6 linked regions of the Mus musculus genome follow. The protein of the gene in region 1 purifies or fractionates together with the protein of each later gene. This does not show direct contact. Links are inferred from orthologs where the notes say so. Each region holds a gene or a part of one and is shown in the gene's direction. Other genes may lie near its edges. The genes, in order: Dyrk1b, Ptges3, Fam117b, Lzts2, Fam53c and Dcaf7.

Region 1 (5,380 bases):
ACCAAACCCGAATTGTGGCCCTGAACGCCCACACCTTCCTGCGGAATGGAGGACACTTTGTGATTTCCATTAAGGTATGGGTCTTGCCATGTAAGGTTGAGTAACCCTAGAGTGTGGTGTGGGTGCTTTGTCTCTGTGGCTGAGCAGGTTATGGCGCCTTAGCCTATCTGACTTGTTTATTAGTCCTCCTTATGGCTGAAATAAAGACTGATAGCTGCTAAGCATTTGGAGCAGATTGTGGGGTACAATATTAACTGCAGCAGGTACATTTTTCAAAACATTTTAATTTTAAATAGGGAAAACTCTCGCGCATCCTCACCATGTTCAAAACTGGCCAACCTATTGCTACACTTGTTTTTGGGTTTTTTTTTTGTTTTGTTTTGTTTTTGTTTTTTCAAGACAGAGTTTTCTCTGTATAGCCCTGGCTGTCCTGGAACTCAACTCTGTAGACCAGGCTGCTATTGCTACATTTGTTCTGTTTTTGCCAGCTGGGCTTCCAGGATATGGAAGAAAATTCCTGACCTTAAACACTGCCTTAGATAAATGAAATAACCTGTTTCCAATGTGAGCCAAATTAAAACTTCTTTAATGAAGTTAGAAAATTGGGAAAGCCTGGGTCTCCAAATCTGTAACTTAGTCCTGACTCCTTTCTAGGCCAACTGCATTGACTCCACTGCGTCAGCAGAGGCTGTGTTTGCATCTGAAGTGAAGAAGATGCAGCAGGAGAACATGAAGCCGCAGGAGCAGCTGACGCTAGAGCCTTATGAGCGAGACCACGCCGTGGTTGTCGGTGTGTACAGGTGAGTGTCACAACAGACCTCTCCCTTACCTGTGGCCCTGAGAAGCCAAAAGTGGTTACAACTCGACCCCCTCTGATTTCCTCACAGGCCACCTCCCAAGGTGAAGAACTGAAACTCAGAGCTGTCTGGATTGAAGAGATGTGTGTTGTTACTGTTGCACGTGTGGCTTGTGATTTTTTGGGGGCGGGGGAGTTGTTTTGTTTTTCTATTAAAAGACTCATCTGTCTCCCCTGTCTGGTGCCTATTGCTAAGTGGCCTCGAGACGCATGCGCCCTTGATCAACTTTGTGTGCTTCGGGGGGTGGTGCCTGGAAAGTTTCATCCGGTCACATGGTGCATGCTCCATTGGTGGCTGCTCCGCACGTGCGCGGCTCAGCACCCTTAAGGCGCAGGCGCACTGTGCTCCGCTAGGTCACGTGAATGATGTGGGGGCGGAGCCGGGGCAGGGGGGCCGGTTTGTTGTGGTCGCCATTTTGCTGGTTGCATTACTGGGTAATCGGGGCCCTGGCTCGCCGCGTCCACCGGACACCCTCAGCCAGTGGGCAGGTCTGAGCTCGGGCTCCCCGAGCAGTTTGAATCCCCTTACCCACGCCCTCAGGTAAGGGTGCTGCGACGGGCGGGGCGGCACGCTTGGGTGGGGGGCAGGCCGGGAACCGCCCTGCCCGTCCCCGCGAGATTTAGCAAGGGAAAGGAGGGGGCTTTGGGCCGTTGCAGCGGAGTCCGGCTCTTCATAGCTGGATTCCTGGAAGAGGCTGAGCCCGAGGGAGCCGTCCTGAGAGGGAGTCGGGGAGGGGGCAGCCAGGCCCCACTCCCGCCCTTTGTTTGGGCTCGGCTGCGCTGGCCGCTTCGCTGTCGCCTAGCAACAGCTGCCCTGAGTGCTAATTGGTTAAGCTCTTGGCAGCAACAACCAATGGCGCGGTTGTTGCCATGGGAGGTGCGGCCTGCCGGGCTCTCTTGGGCCCCGCCCGCCGGGACTCCACTGGCCGGGGCGGGCCTGCCGGGTGGGGGGCGGGACGCCAGGGTCCCTGGGGGCGGGTGGCCACGCGGGGCGGGGCTGGGCCGTAGGGCGAGGGTTAACCCGCCCCTCCCCCGTCCACCTGCTGTCCCCTTCCCCCGCGTGCCCTGGTCTGACCCTCGTCCCCTCCTTTCCCCGCCCCTCCCCCTCGGTGGCAGTGGCGGCGGCTGCTGTTGTCACCCACCGGGCCGCCTGTCCCGCTTGCCCTCACCGCCGCGGGGCTGGCTAGGCTAGCCGGGCCGGGGACAGGCGGCCACCTCCTCATCGCCGCCGCCACCACCACCGCCGCCATGCTGGCCGCTCGCCCACCGCACTGGGGTCCCCATCGCGCTCCAGCCCCCCGTGGGCCCAGCGCCATCCCTGACCCGGGTAGGGGTGGGAGCTGTAAGAGCTGGTCCTAGTGTGGGAGGGCTCGGGAAGAGGTTGTTTATCTGTGAAGCCCCAATAAAGGGGACCTGGAGTGGCAAGACATAGCATAGAAGGGGATCTGACAAGGGGGAGGCTCCTAAGAAGGGGATTTTGTTCCGAAGGACACTTTTAGTGAGTGAAGTCTTGTGCGATATTTAGGGATTTGGCTGTCAGGCCCTTCTAGGAATAGGCTCAATTGTGGAATGACCCAGCGTAGAAATAGAGGAGCTAGCAAGGACCTCAGGGTAAAGAAGAAAAAGACCGTGACTCTTAGATGTTGAAAAATGACACCTCTCCCTTGTTTTCCTGAGGAGTAGGGGTCTTGGAGTAATGGGGGAATCCTAGTGGGATAAATATAGACTGCTTAAAAGAAGGATCTCTGGTTCCAGAGACCTCATATAGGGAGCAGGGAGCGGTCTTGGAGTATGGAGTCGGTCCCAGGGGAAAGTGCCGAGGTGGTTGAAACATCTATAGCTTGCATGTAAAGGAGTTCTCAGATAACCTTGGGTTTGCTGGGAGGTCCATAAGGACTGCTATGTTCTTTAGAATAGAAAGAAACTAGTGGGTAGACTGGGCTTGAAATTGGGCCCTTGGTGTTGAGGGAAGACGGTGTGAGGGCGGGGCCTTATCTGAGGGACTCAGGCTGGCCACCAGTAAAATTTTGAAGGACTGAGTTCTACTGCCCAGACTCTACACGGTTTCTGCCTTCTTTTGCTCTCCTAATTCCTGGCCTCTTTCTATCCCTCCTGCCCTGGCCTTGTACCCACCCTCTCCCACCCCTGTCTGGCTCTGATGGCTCCCTTTTACATCTCTGGATGTGATGCTTCATTCATTTTTTTTGGCTCCTCATTTGTTGAGAGACACGCTGTGCTAACCCACTTGCTACCCTTTCTGTTTGTACATGGCTACCTGGTGCTGGTGCTCTGCCCTGTCCCCTGTCTCCCCCTGGTCCTGCCCCTAACTCATACCCACCTCTTCTGACTGACCCTGACCTACATGCCTTCTTGTTCCATGTTGTCTTCCCACTTCCTACCTGCTCTCAGGTCTCAGCGGCGGTGGCAGCCGAGGTGCAGGATGCGAGAAGGCGCCCCCCGGCCGGGCTCCCGCTCCAGGCCTCACGCCCCTGCGGCCCTCTGAGCCCACCATGGCCGTCCCACCAGGCCATGGTCCTTTCTCTGGCTTTCCGGGGCCCCAGGAACACACACAGGTAGGCATTCAGCTGGCTTCTCACCTGCCTGAGGATTGAAGGGTCTCCAGACAAGAGCATGATTGTTGGAGGATCTCTGGGGACTTTGGAGGCCTCACAGTCCACCCTCATTCCTGCTGAGGACGGAATCCTTGAGCTTCTCCGTGGCCTGCCCTCTCACAGCATGGTTTTGAAGTGTAATGTGTGTCTTGGGTCAGAACTGTCACTGGCACAGAGCAGACAGGAACACAGGTCTGAAGGTTCACAACAAGAACGAGGTCTGGAGTAAGGGGCATGAGAGAGATGTCGAGGGGGGTGGAAATGAGAATAAGCTGAGACCAGGGAGACTAACCCAGTCCAGGAGCTTTGTAACTGGGCAGAAACACTCACTTGAGAGTGAGGACATGGATACAGGGAATTCATTGGCATGGTTCCCCATAATGGTGGTCTCAGGTGCAAAGATTCAGGGGTAAACACCCAGATATGGAGCAAAAGAGCTGACCTGGGGCAGAATGGAAGGCCAGAGGTAAATCACTCATTTCACATAATGAACAGATGAATGGGGAGCCCACACAGTGTGCTTGTGCTCTACAGGTGGGATCGGAGCTAGAGAAATGTAGGCATGGTCAGTGAGTCGTCAGCTTTCCCATTCTCTCCCTGGAAGTTGAGGTGAAGGCTTGTGCTCAGCATCTGCTCCGCTCTACCACAGGTACTACCTGATGTGCGGCTCCTGCCCCGGAGACTGCCCCTGGCCTTCCGGGATGCGGCCTCAGCCCCGCTGCGCAAGCTCTCGGTGGACCTCATCAAGACCTACAAGCACATCAATGAGGTAAAGCGGGGAATGGACTTCCCTGGTTGGGTGTTGCAAAGGGTCCTGGCTTCTTGCCCGGGTCACTTAAGGGTCCGGTTTCCTGGCTGCCTGAGCAGGTATACTATGCGAAGAAGAAGCGGCGGGCCCAACAGGCGCCACCCCAGGACTCGAGCACCAAAAAGGAGAAGAAGGTCCTGAACCACGGTTATGATGACGACAACCACGACTACATTGTGCGCAGTGGCGAGCGCTGGCTAGAGCGCTATGAGATTGACTCTCTTATTGGCAAAGGCTCCTTTGGCCAGGTGTGGGACTCCCCACTCATCCAGTATCTGGATGCAGACAACCACTAACATTCCCAACATTCCCTCCTCCCCGAGTGGTTCACTGGTTCACTTGCTGCAAGTTCTGTCCTGGACCAGCCAGTCAAGCCACTTAGTTTCCCTCTTAGTTCTGTATGAGTATAAATCACAAGGCTTCTTGTAAGAAAACTGTTATTTTGTATCCAGTATAAGGGATGTGAGCACTGGGCTGTGAGTTGTTAGAAAGGTGTGGCTGGTGGGCCTCCCACCTTCCCAGGTAACTCTCCTTGTCTCGACAGGTGGTGAAAGCCTATGATCACCAGACTCAGGAGCTGGTGGCCATCAAGATCATCAAGAACAAAAAGGCCTTCCTGAACCAGGCACAGATTGAGCTACGGCTGTTGGAGCTGATGAACCAGCATGATACAGAGATGAAGTACTACATAGGTGAGGCCTGGGCTTGGGCAGGTGCAGGGTGCCTGTGGGAGAGAGACCTCCACGAGGGTCTTTGGGCTTCTCATCCTTTGATTCTCCTGCTGTGCTCAGGATTTCTCTCTTGTGCTCACTGAGGGCCAGATTGTGTTGCAAACCCTTGCTTTGAATTACCTCCCCGCAGCTGGTGAGGGACGGGGCAGCTCTGAGTACATGTTGGAGAGACTGAGGCACTCAGTGCTCTCACATCAGACTCAACAGCTGAGGATGTGAAAAGCAGTGGCCTCTAGAGCTCTGGCTCTTGAGATATGTCCCAGTCTTCAGTTCCTCTGGAAAGGGACTCTGTAGAGGACAGCCAGTATCCCTTGGCACATGGGTAGACACAGCAAAGACGAGAGCAGGCTCTTTTGGTAGTTCGGGTTTTGGT
Region 2 (4,712 bases), on another chromosome or scaffold:
ATATGAAGTTATAAATACTCAAAGAATTCCTTTTTGAATTTATCATTTTCTCTACTTATAGGCAGCCTGCTTCTGCAAAGTGGTACGATCGAAGGGACTATGTATTCATTGAATTTTGTGTTGAAGACAGTAAAGATGTTAATGTAAACTTTGAAAAATCCAAACTTACTTTCAGGTAATTTGCCTTTTGTCTTATTTAAGGTGTCTATTATTACTGTGATGAAACACCATGATGTTGGGTGGAAATGGATTATTGGGCTTATGGATCCACTGTTAATCATCAAAGGAAGTGGAAGCAGGACAGAGGACATGGTGGGGTGCTGCTTACTGGCTTGCTCAGCCTTTCTTACAGAATCCTGGGGTGGGGGCACCCACAATGGGCTGGGCCCTTTCCTATCAATCACTAAGAAATGTACTATAGTATAGGCCTTCTTACAGTCTGATCTTATAGAAGCATTTTCTCCTTTGAGGCTCCTGTCTCTAGGATTGTGTAGAATTGACATGAACTAGCCAGCCACCTTTCTACATCTGTGTTACCCAAAGCTTACTGTATGTAACTGGCTTTCTAATCTCTTTCTCTGTCTCACTTTTTTTTTTTTTTTTAGTTGTCTTGGAGGAAGCGATAATTTTAAGCATTTAAATGAAATTGATCTTTTTCATTGTATCGATCCAAATGTAAGTACCATTGATGCTTTTTTTCTGATTTAAATGATGAGAAGCTGGGCGTGCTGCTGTTATCTTAGGGTTTGTTGCTGTGAGGAAACCATGACATGGCAGTTTTTATAAAGGGAAACGGGCTGGTTTCCAGCTCAAGGATTCAGTCCATTGTTGTCACAGAGGGAAGCATGATGGCATGTAGGCAGATAATTGTGCCAGAGAAGTAACTAAGGGTTCTACACCTGGAGAGGCAGGAAGAGACATCAAAGCCCACCTGAAGAGGCACACTCCCCCCAATAGTGCCACCCTTCTCAACAATGCCAGTCCCTATGAGCCTGTGAGGCCACTTTCATTTAAACTACCACAATAATAAACATTAAATCTTAAATCTGCTTAGCCTAACAGTTTAGACACTCAGCAACCTCTCTTCCTACATATTTTTTATTCTGTCACTGGCAAAATGACAGTACCTTTGAAATCTTTCTATCTTCTATCAGAAATTTTGAGTAGCCAAAAAGCTTGTTTGGAAAGAAATTTTAAAAAATGAATCAGGCTTGTGGCTATAAGCTGAAAGTTTAGGAAGTAGTAGCAACTCAGAAAAGCTTTGCCTATGTAGGAAAACCACCTCAGAGGAAAGAGACAAAACTTTGTGTAGAGGATCCCTCAAACACTCAGGGGGCTAATTGTGGAGGATCTTGGGTTCAAGACTGGGCTGCACAGTAACAACCAAATTATGAAGGTCCAGCTCTGTTACAGAGAACTTTCCTAGCATGTTTCAAGGTCCTAAATATTATCCCTTAGCAGTATGGTGGGAGGGCTGTTTTTATCATAGCAGAGAGATGAGTGATATGATGCTTTTGTTGTAGGATTCCAAGCATAAAAGAACAGACAGATCGATTTTATGTTGTTTGCGAAAAGGAGAATCCGGCCAGTCATGGCCTAGGTTAACAAAGGAAAGGGCAAAGGTAGGTTGGGTTTTTTGTTTTGTTTTGGTTTCTGTTTGATTGTTTTAATGTTTTAAGAATTAAAAATAGGTGTCTTTTACTCCTGCTTCTTTCGCTTGCCTCTTGCCCCTTTGCTCTCCCTTTCTCCCCATTCCGTCTTGCCCCCTCCCCTCTCCAAGTGGTCATGGTTGGCCTCTACTTCTCCACTTTCTCCTCTGCTTTTCTCTGCTTCTGCTATTCTCTTAACTCCCCTCCCTATGTCCTGAATAAGCTCTATTCTGTACTTTAAAAAAATAAAATAAAAATAGGGCAAAGAGCTGGCTAAGAGGTTAAGAGCACTCACTGTCTGCTCTTTGGAAGGTCCTGTGTTCAATTCTCAGCAACCACATGGTGGCTCACAACCATCTATAATGAGATCTAGTGCCCTCTTCTGGCCTGTAGGCAGAATCTTTTTAAGCCTAAAAATACTTTTTTTTTTTTGGCTTTTCTAGACAGGGTTTCACTGTATAGCCCTGGCTGTCCTGGAACTCACTTTGTAAACTCAGAAATCCACCTGCCTCTGCCTCCTGAGTGCTGGGATTAAAGGCGTGTGCCACCACTCCCGGCAATACATTTTTATAATTGTAAAAAAGCTGGTGTTCTATACTTGGCATTCTCATCAAATGTCATAAAATCAGACCGTAGTTGATTAGGATCTTTTGCATTGGAGAGACAAACTTTTGCATCAGGTGTGGTGGCACACTTGAGGCTAAGGCAGAAAGGTTGTGACATCAAGACTAGCTTGCCTGGGTTTCTTAGTTACTATTGATGTGACGAAACACCATTTGAAACAATTTGGGGAGGAAAGAGTTTATTTATATTGCTTATACTTCATATTCTTAGTCCATCATAGCAGAGCAAGAACTTGGAGGCAGGAGCTGCTAGTCCATGGAGGGTGCTGCTTGCTTCTCATGGCTTGTCCAGCCTCTGTTTCTTATAGAACCCAGGACTGCCAGCACAGGGATGACCCCCACCCCAAGTGAGCTCGGCCCTTCAATCACTAATTAAGTAAATGCCTTACATCTGGATCTTACGATGGCATTTTTCTCAGTTGGGTTCCCTCCTCTCAGAGGACTGTAACCAGTGTTGAGGTGACAAATTAGCCAGCATACTGATAAGTTACTTGGTTACTGTAGGGGAGCAAAGTTTAGTGACATTCAAGATTCAAGGAACTGAGGATAGGCTGGCAGGGTGAAGGTGATTAACTGCCAAACCTGAAGGCCTGAGTTCTGATCACAAGATGGTACAAGGGGAGAGTATGTTAGAAACAGGATATTTCTTTGAATTTGAGGCCAGCCAAGTACCTTCATAGTGAGGTACTGCGTAGACTGTAAACAGTGGCACTGGGGTATCTCAGTTGACAGAATACCTAATATGCACAAAGCTGTAGGTTGGAAACAACCTAACAGCATGACCTATAATCCATCTCTAAAGACGGATTAATAGTTGAATGTTAGCCTTTGTAAATTGGATTAATTCCAGGTATCATGCAATACTTCCCAATAAATGTTTTTGTATGAAAGGTTAAATTGGACAGTCAAAAATGATTCCTGGAGCCAGTCTGTGGTGGCGCAGGCCTTTAATCCCAGCACTAGGGAGGCAGAGGCAGGCAGATTTCTGAGTTCCAGGCCAGCCTGGTCTACAAAGTGAGTTCCAGGACAGCCAGGGCTACACAGAGAAACCCTGTCTCGGGGGGAAGAAAAATGATTCCTTGACTTATTACCCCTCTTGGTTTCTTGTGGATTTTTCTTTTTGAGCTGATTTTATGTCTCATTACTGGTTATGAATAACATGGAGGTGATATTGTTGATCTCTAGCTTAATTGGCTCAGTGTGGACTTCAATAATTGGAAAGACTGGGAGGATGACTCAGATGAAGACATGTCGAATTTTGACCGTTTCTCTGAGGTAAGTTTTTTTAATTGCATTTTCTACCCTGTTCCCATAATATATTCTATATAATCCTTTTAATCCCTTTTTTCTTTTTCCATTTTAATGTGTATGGATAGTTTTTGCCTGCATATATGTGTCTGTGCACCACTTGGGACATGGTTCCAAGGCAGAGTCTGAAGGTGGTGTCAGGGTCCCTGGTAATGGAGTTACAGAGGGTTCCGAGCCACTATGTGGTTGTTAGAAATCAAACCCCAGCCTTCTGAAAGAGTAACAGGTGCTCTCAACCACTCCTTGGTCACCCTTTTTGGTTTTCTGGACAGAAACCCATGTAGTCAGGACATGTCACAACTGCTTATAACTATATTTCTAGGGGATCTGGTAGCCTTTATCATGTCTGGACTGTTCAGGCACCAGGCTTACATATGATGGACAAACATCTGAAGAGATGGTCTTAGGGTGAAGCGTTCCTTTGAGACAGGGTTTCTCTGTGTTGCTCTGGCTGTCCTGGAGCTCATTCTGTAGACCAGGTGGATCTCTTGAGTTCAGGACAGCCAGGGCTACACAGAGAAACCCTGTCTCAGGGGATGGATGGGGAGGGGACAGTTACTGTTGATCAACTGGTAACCCTAACCACTGAGCCATCTCTTCAACTCCCCTAAAAAGAATTTAAAAAAAAAAAAACAGGACCATCATGGTGTGCTGGATTTTTTGAGACGGGGTTTCTCTGTGTAGCCCTGGCTATCCTGGAACTCACTCTGTAGACCAGGCTGGCCTCGAACTCAGAAATCATCCTGCCTCCCGAGTGCTGGGATAAAAGGCACAAGTCACCACTGCCCAGCAAGAGACCATCCCTCTTAGAGGTGATGGAACTCTTGGCTTTTTTTCTTTATTTTATGTATATGGGTACACTGTAGATGTGCAGATGGTTGTGAGCCACCATGTAGTTGCTGGGATTTGAACTTAGGACCTTTCTTTGGAAGAGCAGTCAGTGCTATTAACTGCTGAGCCATCTCTCTAGTCCAACTCTTGGCTTTTTGCAGGAGACAGCATCTCTCTTCTCTGGCTGTCTGGAACTTCTACGTACTCCAGGCTGGCCCCAAATTCACTGAGATGTGCCTGCCTTTGCCTTCCATATGCTGTGTGGATCAAAGGTGCAGGCCACTGTGCCACCCTCCTTTCT
Region 3 (4,712 bases), on another chromosome or scaffold:
ACAAGATGCTCCCAGGACCCAACAGAGATGAGATTAGCTGAAATGCCCAACAAAGGAGAGGGAGAACCTACAGAGACCATATCCAGAGGTTAGGCAAGGTTGGGGGATGGGGCCACCCACTCATCTCCAAATTTTTAACCCAGAATGGTTCCTGTCTGAAGGAAATACAAGGACAAAGTGTAGAGCAGAGACTGAAGGAAAGGCCATCCAGATACTTCCCCACCTGGGGATCTATCCCATGTATAGACACCAAACCCAGACACTATTGTGGATGCTAAGAAGTGCTTGCTGACAGGAGCCTGTTATAGCTGTCTCCTGAGAGGCTCTGCCTGAGCCAGACAAATACAGAGATAGATACTCAGATGTTCGCAGCCAAGCAACCATTCGACTGAGCATGGGGTCACCAATGGAGGAGAAAAAACTGAAGGAGCTGAAGGGGCTTGCAACCCCATAAGAAGAATAACAATATCAACCAACCAGACACCCCCCCCCCCAGAGGTCCCAGGGACTAATACACCAACTAAAGAGTATATACATGGAGTGACCCATGGGTCCAGCCATCTATGTAGTGGAGGATGGCCTAATTGGGCATCAATGGGAGGGGAGGCCCTTGGTCCTTTGAAGGCTTGATGCTCCAGTGTAGGGGGAATGCTAGGGCGGAGAGTCGGGATTGGGTGGGTGGGGGAGCACCCTCATAGAAGCAGGGGGAGGGAGGTGATGGGGGGGCGGGGGGAACCAGGAAAGAAGATAACATTTGAAATGTAAATACATAAAATATCCAATTAAAAAAATAAAGACAGTGCTATCAAATTAGAGTGGATGTAAGCACATGAAAAAAAAAAAAACCATACCACTGTTAGGGTGTTGTTTGCCCAGACTCTTGCGCGCGCTCAACTGGCCAGGAAGAACGATGCTGCAACAGGATCCTTCTGCACACGTTTATTGGGAGAGCTTGATTGTAGAGGCGAAAAGACTCTGAGCCCAGAACTGGTGCTGCTTTTATAGGCCTAGGAGAGGCGTGTCTTACACCCGGATTGGTTATGCACTATGCCTCATTTGCATGTTCCTCATCTGATTGGCTACTCTCTCTCTCAGTACCTCACAGAGCCTCATTATCATACCTCATTTGCATGTCTCACATCTGATTGGTTACTCTCTCAGTACCTCACAGAGCCTCATTATCATACCTCATTTGCATGTCTCACATCTGATTGGTTATACTCTCAGTACCTTACAGAACCTCATTATCATGCCCGGGCCAGGCAGTGTCTTTGCAAAAAACTTTACTGCATATGTACACATTGGTTGTTTGTCCAAACTTATGCGTGGTGGCCAGCAGTAGTCAGTGCCACTCTGCAACGGCACATGTGGCTTCCCACACCAGACCTCTCTCAGTCAGGAACTGTATTTTCTAAGGGTCTTTATTAGTTGTCTTCTTAGAGTCAGACTTAAGAGTATGCATAGCTAGTTGCTAAGGCTGAAGCCTAAAGGTTCTGAACTAACAGTATTTGCTTTATTTATTTATTTATTTATTTATTTAGTTTTTTTGAGACAGGGTTTCTCTGTGTAGCCCTGGCTGTCCTGGCACTCACTCTGTAGACCAGGCTGGCCTCGAACTCAGAAATCCGCCTGCCTCTGCCTCCTAAGTGCTGGGATTAAAGGCGTGCGCCACCATGCCCGGCCAGTTTATTTTAAATATACTACATATGAAATGATAGTATTTAGCCCTTTGGAATCAACTGTGAGTTGTGTTATCAATACCTGTTCTTCTATTTTTGTGGTCAGTGTTTTAGATTGGGTCTGGGCTTTGTTTATTGCCTTGTTCTTACTTGTTTGTTTTTGCATATTTAAGTTGAAGAACTTCTATAAAGCTTAAAATTTTTTTACATGAACACTTTTGCTTTATACCTAGGTGACAAAACACACCCGCCTTCCTCAAGCTCCTCCAGCATTATCCGACGCACATCTTCCCTGGATACCCTCGCAGCTCCATACCTTGCTGGGCACTGGCCCCGAGACATTCGTGGGCAAGCCGCACCCTGCATGAGGGACAAGGCCACACAGGTAGGTTTCTCTTACTTGTTCTTCTCTGAAGCATTGAGTGCACACCAGAATTTCCTCCGAAGCTTTTGAGAAGTACAGGTTTCCAGGCCTACCTTCCAGATATTTGTCTGGATTTGTTTGGCCTGGGAGCATGAATTTCTAAAAGTTCTCAAAAGTAACTCCCATAGAAATATATAATTGCGAACATACTTCCCCTTATTTATTCCTTAGAAGTTAGATTACATTCTCACAATATTTTCATGTCTGGAATTTAGACTCAAAAATTTGTAGTAGAGGATTATTCTGCATACCATTTATTTTTGTGCCCCCAAAACCTTTATATTTTGGGAGAGCTATATTACATTGTTGATTTTGTGTGTGTGTGTGTGCTCACATATCTGCATGCTTATACTGTAGAGTGCTTGAGTGCATATAGAAATTAGAGCACAACTTTGTGAAGTCAATTCTCACTTTCCAACTTTACATGAATTCTAGGGATTAAACATAGGTCAGCAGTGCGCTATCATACACTACTAAGCCCATTTACTGGCTCCATTGCTAATAGATTCCATAAATGTAAACATCTCAACAAATGGTAGTCTGAAAGTGAAGTTTCATACTTTTACATCTATCAAATTGACTAATTAAGAGGATGCTAGAATGTTAACATATAATAATTTATAAATTTATAGTTAAAGAGTTGAAGTCCAGCTAGAGGTGGTGACATGTGCTTTTAATCTTAGCACTTGGGAGGCAGAGGCAGGGAGAGCTCTGAGGCCAGCCTGGTCTACAGAGTGAGCTCTAGGAAAGCCAGGGCTACACAGAGAAACCCTGTCTTGGGAAAACAAACAAACAAACATTGAAGTCCAATATTGTACAAGCAGTTCATGATTGCATGCTAGTTTGGAGTTTCTTTTTATAGTATTACCACATTGTAATTAATTAGACATTTGTACAATCATTTACCCATTGTTTTTCATACTTACTAGACAGTGAATCCCAGTAAGGTGAAGCTGTGTCTGGCTCACTGTTGCTGTTTTCTCAGGAACAGCAACCGTATACCTGAGTAGTAAGTGCTTGAGGAGATTTTGAGGAGCATTTGCAAAGCCGTGGATCAGCAGCACAGTATTGCACTCTTGGTAATGGAGAATGAAAGGCTGCAAAGACTTCTAGTACTGTTTGCAGTTAAGTTTTTGCATTGAAAAATTGTAATTACAAACTAAATTCGACATAGAGGACTTACTCCAAGAAATGTCATCTTATTGGTTAGGATAGAATAGACAGACAGGCCTGAAAACATAAAGCCTGGCCTGGGCACTTCAGGAGGGCCACCTGGTACCCCTGCAAGATGGCTGTGCCTGTGTTTAAAGTACCTCATTGGACCTGAAGATGCTGGAGCATCCAAACAGACCATGGCTTTTGTAAATAGGCAATGCTGAAGCCCATTGTGATAACCACATCCAAAAGGCTTTTCCATCTAGGGAGCCAGGCCTGGGTATGTTATAGGAAGATTCTGGTGTCCCCATGACTCTGGAAACGTTGTTGAACTGATGAATAAAATAAGAGTAAACCTCTGAAGAACTGGGTGATGGGAGTTGTGAGCCCAACCCTGTCTACAGTCTCCTGTGGGTTCTCTAATTTTAGTTTTTGGTTTTGGTTTTTGTTTTCTTTTTATCTTAATGGAAGCCATGTATTTTTTTTTAAACAATTTTTTTATTAGATATTTTCTTCATTTACAATTCAAATGCTATCCTGAAAGTCCCTTATACCCTCCCCTCGCCCTGCTCCCCAACCCACCCACTCCCGCTTCCTGGCCTGGCATTCCCCTGTATTGGGGGGTATATAATCTTTGCAAGACCCAGGGCCTCTCCTCCCAATGATGGGAAGCCATGTTCTATTAATCATGTTCCTTGATTGAATGTCACCCAAGATGTCTCCCAGAACAGTGGCACCACCTCTGAGCCTGCATTCTCTTCACTATCCCAGAAGTTACATGCCAGCACCATTCTGCCTGTTCACATCCCATGACCCCCACCACTTGGAATATGTGTTGAAAATGCCTCCGCCCCTTTATCTGTCATATAAATCATTATACCAGAATTATACTTGCCTGTGTGATCTATATAGTAGCTGCAAGATCTAAGTTACATAAAGGGAAGTTCCATTACTTCACATCACAGTGTAGATAGAAGAAAGATTTACATTTCCCTATATTGTTATCTGTAGAAGTCTTTTGTTTAAAGTCCAGCAACTTTAAGATATTTTGAGCCTTTTTATAATAAAATGATTCTCCTGAATATTCATCAGCATATTTCTAGATACCTGTAAATTGGAATGTACTCTTCAGTGCTCAAGCCCTGAAATCTTTGACACTATGAAAACACCTGCATGCCACCCAGTGCTAGTCAATGGAAGAATTCATGTATCAATTTTGCTATGTTTTTATAATGTGTTGCTTCTTTATTAATTTGTTTAGAACTTCAAAGAGTTTTTAAGTCCAATCCTGTAAAGGATTGGACTTGAGCTTTTCTTCATAACCAGACAGTTGGAAACCAGTTCCCAGGATGCCACACTGTATGCCCCATCTCCAAAATAAGTTACTCTTTTTTTTTGTTTGTTTTCCAAGACAGTTTCTCTGTGTAGCCTTGGCTGTCCTGGAATTCTGTAGA
Region 4 (4,447 bases), on another chromosome or scaffold:
TTGTTTTGTTTTTAAAGATTTATTTATTATTATACATAAGTACACTGTAGCTGTCTTTGAACACACCAGAAGAGGGCACCAGATCTCATTACGGGTGGTTGTGAGCCACCATGTGGTTGCTGGGATTTGAACTCAGGACCTTCAGAAGAACAGTCAGTGCTCTTAACCGCTGAGCCACCCCCCACCCACCCCCCACCCACCCCTGTAATCTTAAAAGGCAGAGAAACCTTGCTTGTGATCAAGCCTAGCTTGGGGATACAAAGTGAGTGAGCTCGGGCCAGTAAAGTAAAACCCTGTCTCAGAAAAGCAACAGAAATAACATTTTAAAAAGGGCAAGGGACTGGGCAGATCACCCTCACAGTGTCAACTGGTGCCTCATTTCAGAATATGGAGAAGATCCTGATCCGGCCAACAGCCTTCAAGCCAGTGCTACCCAAACCTCGGGGGGCGCCATCCCTACCCGGCTTCCTTGGTCCTCGAGCTGCTGGGCTATCTGGGAGCCAGGGCAGCCTGACACAGCTGTTTGGGGGGCCAGCCTCTTCCTCCTCCTCTTCCTCTTCCTCCTCTGCTGCTGACAAACCCTTGGCACTGAGTGGTTGGGCCAGTGGCTGCCCTTCAGGAACGCTGTCAGACTCTGGCCGAAATTCTTTATCCAGCTTGCCCACCTACAGCACTGGAGGTGCCGAGCCAACCACCAACTCCCCAGGTGGGCACCTGCCCTCCCACGGCCCTGGCCGAGGGGCACTGCCTGGTCCAGCCCGAGGGGTCCCTACTGGGCCCTCCCATTCAGACAGTGGCCGGTCCTCCTCCAGCAAAAGCACGGGCTCCTTGGGGGGTCGTGTAGCTGGGGGGCTCTTGGGCAGTGGTGCCCGGGCCTCCCCTGGCAGCAGTTCTGGTGGAGACCGCTCTCCACCCCCTCCACCACCTCCACCCCCTTCGGATGAGGCCTTGCTACACTGTGTCCTGGAAGGGAAGCTCAGAGACCGCGAGGCAGAGCTGCAGCAGCTGCGGGACAGTATGGATGAGAGTGAGGCCACAGTGTGTCAGGTGCGGCCAATGGCAGTCCTGGGGCCGTGGGGCTGAATACCCAGAGCGTTGCTGTTGGGGAGGGAGAGGGTCAAGACTCCTGGTGTGACACCCCTCCCCCCCAAGGTTGGTTAGCTTAACCTTCAAAGCGGTGAGGAGGCAGGGTATATAGGAATTGGACCCAGCACTGTTTTGTAGGGTGTTAGGTTTGAGCAAGTTAATCAATCTCACCGGGCCGCAGTCTCCCTGTGTAAATGGAGATAACTGTGACTCCCTAAGGGGGTGATGAAGATTAAATAAGACAAAAAGGATAAAGTCCTTAGACTAACACCTGATACCTAGGAAAGGCCATATAAGTGCCTGCTTTTATAATTGTCATAATTCACTGGATTCAGGCCAGGCAGGGAGCTACCCAAGCAGGAGATGGTAGAGCTCATGATCGGGGGGGGAGGGGGGCGGCGGCGGCGGCGGCGGCGGCGGCGGCGGCGGCGGAGGGACTGGACCGGACCATTTCTAGCCTGAAGTCTTTCCCTAGGCATTCGGGGCACGGCAGCGGCGCTGGCCACGGGAGCGAGGGGAGGACTGTGCAGCCCAGGCGCAGCAGGCCACGCAGCGCGTCCAGCGGGCCCAACAGCTGCTGCAGCTGCAGGTGTTCCAGCTGCAGCAAGAGAAGCGCCAGTTGCAGGATGACTTTGCCCAGCTGCTACAGGAGCGGGAACAGCTGGAGCGCCGCTGTGCCACTTTTGAACGGGAGCAGCGGGAACTCGGGCCACGGCTGGAGGAGACCAAATGGGAGGTATGCATGATGGACGCCGGGCAGGATGAAGGGGGTCACGCTCTGCACAGCTGGCCCACAGTAGCTACCGTTCCGGGTCTGTCCTTCCTTGTCAGGGTTGGAGCATTCCTTGTGCCTCTGTTGGATCTCACGGTTGTGATCTAGTGACCTCACAGCTAGTGGCGTTTCCTTCTCTGTTAGATGGGTACTGTTAATACCTCCGTTTCATGAATGAGGAAAATTGAGCTAGAGCCTTGAATTAAAGTAGCGGTGGCTGGGCTGAGATACAAACCCAGGCAGCTTTTGTTTTTGTTTGTTTTGGTTTTTTTTTTTTTTTTTTTTTTTTCAAGACAGGGTTTCTCTGACAGCCCTGGCTGTCCTGGAACTCACTCTATAGACCAGGCTGCCCCCAAACTTAGAAATCTGCCTGCCTCTGCCTCCCAAGTGCTGGGATTAAAGGCGTGTGCCACCACCACCTGACCAGGCAGTTTGTTTTTGATGTCCTCTCTTAATCCAGGATGCTTGCCTTTCACCTGACATGTGAGAATTGCCCTGGACTGCCGCACTCCACTCCTGCAGTCTGTGCCACCATCCCCAGGCCTGGGCAGTCTTTATAAAGAATCCTGGCATAAGAATCCTGGCATTGAAAGGAAAAGATCTGGGTCTTTGTTCTCCTTTCGCCTCTTACTAGAAGTATAACCATGGAGGCATCACTAGGCTCGCCTCCTGCTGTGCGTCCATGCGTAAACTCCCGAAACTGCATTTTCTGGAATACCCAGCATACCGCCCAGTGCCCAGTACCTAGAGGCCTCACCATCTTTCCTCAATACTTTGCACCCACAGGTGTGTCAGAAATCAGGTGAGATCTCCCTGCTGAAGCAGCAACTGAAGGAATCTCAGGCAGAGCTGGTCCAGAAGGGCAGTGAGCTGGTGGCGCTGCGGGTGGCCCTCCGTGAGGCCCGGGCCACCTTGCGGGTCAGTGAGGGCCGTGCCAGGGGCCTGCAGGAGGCAGCCCGAGCTCGGGAGCAGGAGCTGGAGGCCTGCTCGCAGGAGCTTCAGCGGTACCGCCAGGAGGCTGAGCGGCTCCGGGAGAAGGCCGGGCATTTGGATGCCGAAGCATCGGGACTCCGGGATCCCCCTGTACCCCCTGCCACCACCGACCCGTTCCTCCTGGCAGAGAGTGATGAGGCCAAGGTGCAGCGGGCAGCGGCTGGGGCAGGGGGTAGCCTGCGGGCTCAGGTGGAACGGCTGCGCCAAGAACTGCAGCGGGAGCAGCGGCGAGGGGACGAGCAACGGGACAGCTTTGAGGGGGAGCGGCTGGCCTGGCAGGCAGAGAAGGAACAGGTGATCCGCTACCAGAAGCAGCTGCAGCACAACTATATCCAGATGTACCGGCGTAACCGGCAGCTGGAGCAGGAACTGCAGCAACTGAGCCTGGAGCTGGAGGCCCGCGAGCTTGCGGATTTGGGCCTGGCGGAGTCGGCCCCTTGCATCTGTCTGGAGGAGATCACTGCCACTGAGATCTAGGGCTCTGCAAGGGGTCTGAGCCACAGAGGCCCACCTGCCCGGGGATCCACTGAGCACGCGCTCCAGGTCTCAGAGCCAAAGGGCCTCGGCCGAGCATTCGGGTGGCTCCGTAACTTGGAGAAGCAGCAGAATCAACCCTCTGTGTCACCGTCACCCAGAGGCTCCTGCCTACTCTGCCATTTCACTCCCTCACTGTCGCCACTGCCAGCCCACTCCAGCTGGGAAGGGAAAGAGGCTGCTTCCCTGTCTCCGCATCTACCTGCCTGAAGCCAGAGAGAGCCCGAGGGCAACCAGCTGCTCCAGATGTGCCTGCCCTCAACATGTCCACGTGGAGGGGCAGGGCCGGGCATGGGGCTGATCCCCATGTTGAGCTCTGCAAGCCTCTTCTGGGCTGAGGGGGCTGAAGTCAGACCAAAGGAAGAACCCAGCAATGTCTTGTTTATTTGTGTTTGTGACCAAGCCGTCCTCCCTAGTTCCAGGGTTACGGCCTCATTTCCACTTGTATATTTTTCACACTGTAAATTTCTTGTACAAACCCAAAGGGGAAAAAAATTTAAAAAAAAAAAAAAGTTTTGTTTTAAAAAAAAAAAGTGCAATGGATAAAGAAACTGCAGGGGAATTTGTTTGACATCCATCTCTGCTTGCTGGCTGCTCGCCTACCTATGATGGAATTCTTAGGACTAATCTAGTAGAATCCTGGGTCCTACTGGACCACACCATGAGTTTTGAGGAACTAGAAAAGCCTTCCCATCCTGTCCTCTACACTGAACCCTGCTTGAGGCTGGGGGATGATTGCAGTGACACCCTCCCCCCACTTGAGGACTCTCAGTTTACGACCCTCAGATTATGGTGAGCCAGGTCCATCGTGAAAAACCTCACACTAGTCACAGGCTCCAGACTTGAGTCTGTCTGTCTCCTTACTGGGAAGCAGTCCAGGATTAGGGAATGCACATGACATGGGTTGCCCACTAGCACACGGTGTTCTTGGACATCCAGCTTGTCCTGAAAGGCCAGAGCCCTTTTGACAGCCGGGGTGGATCAGAGCCACCAGTGTGGTGGTGCTCTCAGTAGTCAAATGGATAGGATAGAGGTACACAGAACCCAGAGGCAGCAGGAGGA
Region 5 (3,679 bases), on another chromosome or scaffold:
GAGCCCTCCGAAGCGGGTCTCCAGCCTCAGGTTCCTCCAAGCTCCCAGTGCCTCGTCTCAGTGTGCCCCAGCCCACAGACCCTACAGCCCTCCTTTCTTCAGCCTGGCCCTGGCCCAAGATTCCGCTCAGCCCTGCGCCACCTCCCCTCAGAGTGGCTCCTGGGAGAGTGATGCAGAGTCCCTGTCGCCCTGCCCACCCCAGCGCCGCTTCTCCCTGTCACCCAGCCTGGGCCCACAGGCGAGCCGCTTCCTGCCCTCTGCCCGGAGCTCTCCCGCGTCTTCCCCAGAGCTGCCCTGGAGACCCCGAGGTCTCCGAAACCTTCCCCGAAGCCGCTCACAGCCTTGTGATCTGGATGCCCGCAAAACTGGTGTCAAGCGGCGTCATGAGGAAGACTGCAGGCGCCTTCGGCCTTCCTTGGACTTTGACAAGATGAATCAGGTGGGACTGGCAGACCAGAAGCTGTTTAAACATCTCCTAATTCCCTACCTTCTGGCAAGGCCTCCCTGGGAACTCTTCTGTCTAGAGTTTATACAAGAAAACCACCCTGGCAGTATTGAATTTTAACCTTTAATGTCTTCTGCCCTGTCAAGTTAGTCCTTAGTATTCTAAAGAAACTAGACTGAGGCCTTAAGCCTTCAGACAGGGATCCTAATTGTCCTGCCAGAGGCACTTTTCCTCTTCTCTGAGAACTCTAGACCACAGGATTCCTGTCCTCAGTGTCTCCTCTGCAGTCTCAGGGCTGGTTTTGTTCCCTGGCTTCAGTGCCCCCTGTCAGCCTTTGGGAGCTTAAGCAAGATGAGCAGTGGCTTTCTAAGCCCTAAGCTGAGAGCAGCCACTGTGGGTGACTTGTCCCCTTTTGCCATAGTTTTCCTTCCAGATCGCTTGGTCATAGGGCTCTGAGAAGTTGTTCTCTTAGTCATCCAGCTATTCAGAAAGCATTCATGGCAAAATCTATGTGCTTGAGTCTGCTTAGGCATTGGCAGTGAGTGGCCAGATAAGCAGATGGTGGTGTGGCCTCCACTGGACCTTATAATTGAGAGGGTTTTGTTGTTGTTGTTTTGGGTTTGTTTGTTTGTTTGTTTGGTTGGTTGGTTGGTTTTTCTTCTTTCTTTTTTTCTTTTCTTTCTTTCTTTTGGTTGGTTTTTCTCCTTCCTTCCTTCCTTCCTTCCTTCCTTCCTTCCTTCCTTCCTTTCTTCTTTTCTTGATAAGGTCTTTCTATTTAGCCCAGGCTGGCTTCAGCCTTTTGAGCTATGAGGTTTCAGATATCACCATGCCCCATCATAACTCAGCTCTGTTCTTTTTTGTGGCTCTTGTGTGTGAGTGAACCTGTGTTCTTAGGCTATGTAAATACTTTGCCACTGAGTTAACAATACTCGCTCTGAGAGCTTCTGTTCATTGTTGCTTTGGGTTGGTTTTTCGAGCCAGGGTCTCATAGTTATAGTCCTAGCTGGCCTAAATGCACTATGTGACAGGCTGCTCTTGAACTGGCAGAGATCTGCCTGCCTCTTCCTTATAGGTGCTGGAAACTGGGCCAGGAGGTGGTGCAGGCCTTTAATCCTGCTCACGGAGGCAGGAGACAGGCAGATCTCCCTAAGTTTGAGACCAGACTGCCGTACAGAGCAAGTCCCAGGACAGCTGAGACTATAGAGAAACCCTGTCTTAAAAACCAAAACACACCAAAAGGTGGGAACTGGGGTGCCTTCCCCAGAGAATGTACACTAAATGTTCCAGATTTTATGATTTGGAACCTTACTCTAAAGCATAAAATTTCAAGTGTAACTGAGATGAACACTTTACATTTTGGAAGGCCAGGAGAGATGGCTCAGTGGTAAGAACATAGGCTGCGCTTCCAGAGAACCTGAATTTGATTTTCAGCACCTACATAGTGGCTAACTGTCTGTCAGTCCATTTCCAGAGGCTTCGAAGTCCTCTCAGGCCCTCTGCAAGCACACGGAGTACACACATGTAGGCAAAACACTCAACACAGAAAATAAAAAAAATCTAAGGGGGTTTTATTTGTTTGTTTGTTTTATTTAAGTGACTTTGGGAAATTACTATATATTTTTTTTAATTTTGTTGACAGAAACCATACTCAGGAGGTCTCTGTCTCCAAGAAACAGCCCGAGAAGAAGGCAGCAACGTCTCTCCACCATGGTTCATGGCCTGTAGTCCCCCACCTCTCTCTGCTTCCTGCAGTCCCGTCGAGGGTTCATCCCAGGTGCTGAGTGAAAGCGAAGAGGAGGAAGAGGGGTCTGTGCGGTGGGAACGGCAGGCACTGAGCAAGCGGACATTGTGCCAGCAGGACTTTGGGGACCTGGACCTGAATCTGATTGAAGAAAACTAAAAGTGAGAGGCTGCTTCCTGGGCCCATGCAGACTGTGTAATGGTTACTAACACGTGTGAGGGCCCCAAGGCTGAGGGCCCAGCCTGGGAAAGGGGGTGAATGGAGGGCTCCTACTCAGGGCAGCCCAAGTCTTCCTGCTCCAGCAAACTCGACCATGCCAAGAGACTGGCGGGGACAAGATAAATGGAGCTGGTGACGGGAGGGACAGCCCCAGAGCAGACCCTCCCCATGGCGGCCCTGAGTGTGAGTATCCCTGCCACTAAGAGCAATGGGCAGGGAAGGAAGGGGTCTGCGACCCCAGCTCGGGGAATTTCACTAGCCCCTTTGCTTCAAAGGGCACTTGTGTCTTAGAATTTGGCCAGGGTGGGGGGGTTCAGTCAGCCTCCTCGGAGAAATTGTGTGAGTGTGCGTGCGTGCACGGGTGTGTACTTGTGTGAGTGTGTGTGCGTGCATGGGTGTGTACTTGTGTGAGTGTGTGTGCGTGCGCGCATGGGTGTGTACTTGTGTGAGTGTGTGTGTGTGTGTGCATGGGTGTGTACTTGTGTGAGTGTGCGTGTGTGCACGGGTGTGTACTTGAGGAAAGGTGCGTGCGTTTGTATAGCCTTAGGGAAGGAAGGCAGTTGCTCCTTTAACAGCAGAGCGTCAGGATACCCCCAGGATCTTGTGGGTTTTTTTGTTTGTTTGTTTCCTTAATATAACATTGGGCTTGTTCAAGGTGTCAAGAGGAGAGAGTTTTTGTTTTTGTTTTTGTTTTTTTTTTCGGTCTTAATAGCTCTGGAGCCAGGCTTTTAAGTTCATCGCATCACTGCTCTGTAAATGGTTCTGTTTTGGGGTCTAGCAGAATCTTTTGAGTACTATGATTTCAGCTAATGGGCTTTTCTGAAGTCCCGCCCTCTCCCACTAGATGAATCTAGTATTGAGGCTTGAGGCAGTCCCCACACTTGTTGTTTTCATTGTCTAAGCTGTCTGCAGCCCGCTTCTCTCGCTTGCTGAGAAGCTGCAAGCAGATGGACAACTGAGGCAGAGCTAAGGAGCTTGGGCGCTCTCCTCTTCCCCAAGGGGACCTTTCCTTTTCTGATCTTACAAGTCAGAGACAGGGTTGCTCTCCAAGAATGTGTTGAGGCAGACCAGGAGCAGTGACATTATTCCCTGGAAGTCCTTGAGGCCACCCTCAGCACTGCCTTTTGGAAGCTGGCTGTAGGGAAACTTACTCTTGCAATATCTAGGCCCGGTCTCTCTCTGATCTGCTTGAAAAAGAGGTAGGGTGTTCAGCATTTAATAGTTTGCTTGTCTTCCACACTTGCCAGGAAATGTTTATTTGCTTCTAATTGGCC
Region 6 (4,712 bases), on another chromosome or scaffold:
TCGAAAGTAGGTTTCTTGAATCGCCTGAGTAAGAGAACCTTGAGATGTTGAAGAAGATACAATGGCTGGGGACGGTGGGGATGGTGAGGCTCAGGTCACAGCTACTCCTGTCATGTGGAAAGCTGGCGCTCTTCCTAAGCCCTTGACTCGCCTGGCACTCTGTGATGCAGTGTTTGCCCTGGAGCATGCCCTCCTCATCCTTTGGCATGACTGGGAATATAGACAGACCATAGAGGGTAGGATGGAACAACTTCAGGTGCTCTGGAAAAACTGTTTCCTTTAAAGTATGGCACTAGAAAGTTCTTACAGTGGTTTGATTATCAGTTCTCTTAAACTCCAAAGTGCAAGAAGGAGGAGGAGGAGGAGGGGGGGGGGAGGAGGAGGAAAGGAGGGGGGAGGAGGAGGAAGGAAGGAGGAAAGAAGGGGGAAGGAGGAGGAGGAGGAGGAGGAGAAAGAAAGAAGAAGAGAAACACTCCATGCATTCAGGAGTGTCCATGCATTGCTGGCTGCTCTTGCAGGGGACCCAGGTTCAGTCCCAAGCTCCCACACAGCAGCAGGGAAATATCTGTAACTCCGGGGCTCTGATATTCTTTTCTGGCCTTCTCCAGCACCAGGCATGCAAGTGGTACACAGACATACATGCAGATAAAACAGCCATACACATAAGATGAAGAAAAAAAAAATGGTTTCAGGTAAGAGATGGGTTCATTCAGACGAGGTGGAGATCTGAAAAAGAGGAGTCTCAGGCCTCGGGACAAATCAGGCAGTGGAAAGCTGTGCCCACACCCTACAAGTACAAGTTGTCTTCTTCTGTCTTCTTCACTCTGTTGCAGCTTTTCCTGAATCTCTATGCAGCAGTGGATCTGGCCTTTTCCGTTTTCCCTTTTAAACAAATACCTGGGACTAAGTTGGATTAAGTCCCCATGTTTCCAGAAATGGATTTGGTTGGCTCGGTCATCCAGCCTAATGTGGCAAAGCTAGTGCAGTGCCCTCAACCCTGACTGTGCCAGGACCCCTGGGGGCTCTCGCAGATATGATGCTTGTTTGTTTCATTACCATAGATTCTCATTTCACTGCTCTGAATATTGCTTGGGCCTTGGGATGTTCTTAAAGTTCATTGTAATATAGAGCCACCATTGCAACCAGCTGATCTGAGAAGAGCTTGGGGTCAAGCTGTAGTCATGGAGTGCTTAGAAATTGGAGTCCTGGATGGGTAGATTATTCTCCAGTGGCATCTCTATTTGGATCCTCCATCTTTCCAGTTGTCTAGATATACACTATGCTAGAATAAACTGAAATATTTCTTTAAACTTTAAGACTCGGGATATAGCTCAAAGTCAGACACTTGTGTGGCTTTGAGTTCAAATACCATTACCACATACATCTTTCTAATACAGAAATCCTGCTTTTGGGACTTGGGTACCAGAAATAATGACAGCAGTATCCAAACACAGGGAATATTAGAAATAGGTACAAGAAAGCTGAATTTGGAAGCAATAGCCAACTGTATGAAAAGAAAAACACAAGCCCTGTCATTAAGACACTAAGGGAAACTACACCAACCAGTAATGTCAGTGTCTCATGAGGCACTATGGGATTAACTGTCAAATGCATCATACTGGTAATTACTAAAAGACAGAGTCAGGAAAACTGCCAATGCTTTGTGGAAGAAGTAAGATAGAATGTTGACACTTGTACATTGGGAAAGGCAGTTTACACAGTTATTAAGAGTAGGTATCAGGAACATCTCAACTCTACAGGTTGGGAACCAGGATTAACAACAGTGATGCAGCTGAGGCCCTGCAGCTAGTGAATGGTAGAGTCCTGGAAGCCTGATGTCACTGGTGTATTAATAGTAATCAGGATTGAGGTTGATGAAAAGGGTGTAGACATAATTTACAAACTTGGAAAGATGTATAAGGAAAGGGAGAATATGGAAAATGGTGATTAGAAGAGGGAATGGAAGATAAGGTTAGCTGGCATTGGGTGGCAGTCAGCGTTGGCCATTGGGTCTAGAGAACCTTAAGTAGGAGATGTTTCACAGGATCTGATATTTGGGGTTTGGGAAACATGTCTTACGATGGATGACAGGCAACTTTTAGAAGTGAGTGTAACCCCTTTTTCCAGTTTCACTTTGAAGTTATCTACTTCCTGTGTCCTTCTACTTACACCTAAAAGGAAGACTTCTAAGATCCTAAGGTCACTCACTTCCTCGCCTGTTCAGATTGAATTTGAGGACTGGAGAATTGCCTCAGAACTATTATCAGTGATAGTGTTAAGAATACATCTCTTCTAGGGTAGTGGTGGTGCACGCCTTTAATCGCAGCACTCAGGAGGCAGAGGCAGGTGGATTTCTATGAGTTTGGGGCCAACCTTGTCTACAGAGCAAGTTCCAGGACAGCCAAAACTACCCAGTGAGACCCTGTCTCAAAAAAAAACCAAAAGGAGGAGGAAGAAGAGGAAAGGAGAAGGGGAGGAGGAGGAGGAGGAAGAGCAGCAGCAGCATACCAGTGTATTACCTGTTGCTTTGCTTTTATTGCTCTGGAGTTTCAGAGCTTGGGGTTCTGTCTCCTTTGCACCCATACTCCTTATCTCCCTACACATTTACAGACCTTGGACATCTCTGCCTAACTGCTAGAAAGTCTGCTGATGACTAAGTGTGTAGATAGACACAGGAAATTCCTTACAAATGTATAATTGTACCAAAGTTAAAGATCTAAAATTAATATATTATTACTAATTTTAATAATATATAATTAAAATAAACTATTTCGACATAATATCAATAAACAGTTGAAAATGGGGTTTAAAAATCATGGTAGGTAGTGTAGGGAAAAATACAACTAAAACCCTAAAAAATATATTTGAAGTAGCATACAATTACATAGAAATAAAGTTGGTGAAAGAGTTGAAGATCTCTCTACACACCAAACTTTAAAGCATTGCTTTAACAAGCTGAAGGTGACCTAAATAACTAAATTCCCAAACTGAATCATAGATTCAAGACAGTTGGAGTCAGAACCTCAACGGCATTTTGTACATTTTAAAGAGATGCTCTTAAAATTCACACAGAAAGACAGTAGCGCAGAAGAGCAAAGGTTTACAGAGAACTGAAACTCAATGGGAAAACCACTGGACCCAATAAATAGAGCAAACCCTCAGAAGGTGGAGACAAGGCCTGTGTGCACAGTGAGCTTGAGGGTAGCACAGACTCCATGAAGCCTTGTCTCAGAAGATACTCTTCACAACACCATAATGCCAAATATGTGTCCTTTACTTCCTAAAACTCAGAATGGAGCTGCGTATGGTGGCACAAACCTTTAATCCAAGCACTCGGGAGGCAGAAATAGAATATCTGTGAGTTCAAGGCCAGCCTGACTCAAGAAGCTAAAATGGGGGCTGGGAATGTAGCTCGGTTGGTAGAACACTAGCCTAGCGTACATGAAGCCCTTGTTCAATTCCCAGCACCTTCATTAAGTAGGCTGTGATCGTACTTTCCTGCAACCCCAGTGTTTGGGAGGGAAGGCGGAATGATCAGATGGTCTCAGAAAACGGGAGAGGGAGGAGGAGGAGGGTCATTCAGCACTTAGAGTCAGAAAACTTGTATTCAGATCTTCTATCTTTTTCTATCTTCGTAGACTGTACTGAACCCTGTGGTTCTTGAGTTTTTATCTAGTGCTGGGATCAGAAGTCTAGGGGTCCTTCACCGTAATAACTTGACTGCGCACTCAGTGTAGTCGTGTCAAGACTGACCAGAAATCTGATGTGTTTGATCCTGCTCAAGAAAAACAAACTCTCGTGTGGTTCAATTGTGCTGCTTTGCAGGTTCAGCTTGTTGGTTTAGATGAGGAGAGTTCAGAGTTTATTTGCCGAAACACCTTTGACCACCCGTACCCTACCACAAAGCTCATGTGGATTCCTGACACAAAGGGCGTCTATCCAGACCTCCTGGCAACAAGTGGTGACTATCTCCGTGTGTGGAGGGTAAGCAGAGGCTTTACCTGCGGGTGGCCAGGCATGCTTTCTTGGGGACAGCTGACAGCAGTGTGCAGTCCTGAAGAGCAGACAGCTAGTATCACTGCCACATGGAAGAAGCACAGGACGTGCCTGTGGACTGACCTTGTTTCAGCTCAACGGGTTTTCTAGGAAATGTAGCCCAGGTCTTGCTGCTGATGGGGACAAGCCTTCTGTGAGGCAGAGAGCACTTGGGACCCCCTACTCCATTACTAGACAAGACACTCCTGAGTAAGGAGATGGCAGGGTGTTGATCTTGATGCACTCTGTGTGGAGCTTCTCTTCTCAGCTGAGCTCAGCAGCCTCCCTTGTGCTCGGGAATCCAGGGCCTGCCCCGAAGGCAGACAGGCTGCTAAGAGCTCTAGAGCGAGGCGTTGGTGAAAGCTGAGAGAGCTAAGCTGGGGAAGGGGGAAGTTGTAAAAGAAGTCCAAACTCAGGAGTCCCTTTGGGTTTTATTACCCTTTATCATAAAAATATTTTCTCCTGTTCTTAGATTTATTAAATAGGATTTTAAAAAAAGATTTATTTATGTATGTAAGTACAATGTTGCTCTCTTTAGACGCATCAGAAGGTGGCATCAGATCTCATTACAGATGGCTGTGAGCCACCATGTGGTTGCTGGGAATTGAACTCAGGACCTCTGGAAGAGCAGTCAGTGCTCTTAACCACTGAGCCATCTCTCCAGCCCCCTAAGCAGG

Evidence for each region.
Region 2: the proteins of Dyrk1b (region 1) and Ptges3 purify together in Homo sapiens (affinity purification with mass spectrometry; 3 studies listed by BioGRID and IntAct, with this or other methods). This does not show direct contact. The link is inferred for Mus musculus from reciprocal best matches to the Homo sapiens genes DYRK1B and PTGES3.
Region 3: the proteins of Dyrk1b (region 1) and Fam117b purify together in Homo sapiens (affinity purification with mass spectrometry; 3 studies listed by BioGRID and IntAct, counting the BioPlex papers as one, with this or other methods). This does not show direct contact. The link is inferred for Mus musculus from reciprocal best matches to the Homo sapiens genes DYRK1B and FAM117B.
Region 4: the proteins of Dyrk1b (region 1) and Lzts2 purify together in Homo sapiens (affinity purification with mass spectrometry; 3 studies listed by BioGRID and IntAct, counting the BioPlex papers as one, with this or other methods). This does not show direct contact. The link is inferred for Mus musculus from reciprocal best matches to the Homo sapiens genes DYRK1B and LZTS2.
Region 5: the proteins of Dyrk1b (region 1) and Fam53c purify together in Homo sapiens (affinity purification with mass spectrometry; 3 studies listed by BioGRID and IntAct, counting the BioPlex papers as one, with this or other methods). This does not show direct contact. The link is inferred for Mus musculus from reciprocal best matches to the Homo sapiens genes DYRK1B and FAM53C.
Region 6: the proteins of Dyrk1b (region 1) and Dcaf7 purify together in Homo sapiens (affinity purification with mass spectrometry; 10 studies listed by BioGRID and IntAct, counting the BioPlex papers as one, with this or other methods). This does not show direct contact. The link is inferred for Mus musculus from reciprocal best matches to the Homo sapiens genes DYRK1B and DCAF7.

What each region holds. Positions count from the first base shown.
Region 1 is NC_000073.6:28,178,244-28,183,623, forward strand, and holds the start of Dyrk1b (dual specificity tyrosine-phosphorylation-regulated kinase 1B), read left to right. Parts: upstream 1-2,072; 5' UTR 2,073-2,104; coding exon 2,105-2,183; intron 2,184-3,265; coding exon 3,266-3,429; intron 3,430-4,117; coding exon 4,118-4,237; intron 4,238-4,335; coding exon 4,336-4,524; intron 4,525-4,820; coding exon 4,821-4,968; intron 4,969-5,380. Other genes in the region: Fbl (rRNA 2'-O-methyltransferase fibrillarin), read left to right, coding at 1-74, 655-800, 888-912.
Region 2 is NC_000076.6:128,068,611-128,073,322, forward strand, and holds part of Ptges3 (prostaglandin E synthase 3), read left to right. Parts: intron 1-61; coding exon 62-175; intron 176-605; coding exon 606-675; intron 676-1,523; coding exon 1,524-1,622; intron 1,623-3,457; coding exon 3,458-3,547; intron 3,548-4,712. UniProt on the Homo sapiens protein: Cytosolic prostaglandin synthase that catalyzes the oxidoreduction of prostaglandin endoperoxide H2 (PGH2) to prostaglandin E2 (PGE2).
Region 3 is NC_000067.6:59,947,141-59,951,852, forward strand, and holds part of Fam117b (protein FAM117B), read left to right. Parts: intron 1-1,912; coding exon 1,913-2,064; intron 2,065-4,712.
Region 4 is NC_000085.6:45,023,158-45,027,604, forward strand, and holds the end of Lzts2 (leucine zipper putative tumor suppressor 2), read left to right. Parts: intron 1-384; coding exon 385-1,047; intron 1,048-1,561; coding exon 1,562-1,822; intron 1,823-2,644; coding exon 2,645-3,328; 3' UTR 3,329-3,947; downstream 3,948-4,447. UniProt on the Homo sapiens protein: Negative regulator of katanin-mediated microtubule severing and release from the centrosome. Required for central spindle formation and the completion of cytokinesis.
Region 5 is NC_000084.6:34,768,514-34,772,192, forward strand, and holds part of Fam53c (protein FAM53C), read left to right. Parts: coding exon 1-439; intron 440-2,084; coding exon 2,085-2,345; 3' UTR 2,346-3,679.
Region 6 is NC_000077.6:106,042,866-106,047,577, forward strand, and holds part of Dcaf7 (DDB1- and CUL4-associated factor 7), read left to right. Parts: intron 1-3,825; coding exon 3,826-3,984; intron 3,985-4,712. UniProt on the Homo sapiens protein: Involved in craniofacial development. Acts upstream of the EDN1 pathway and is required for formation of the upper jaw equivalent, the palatoquadrate. The activity required for EDN1 pathway function differs between the first and second arches.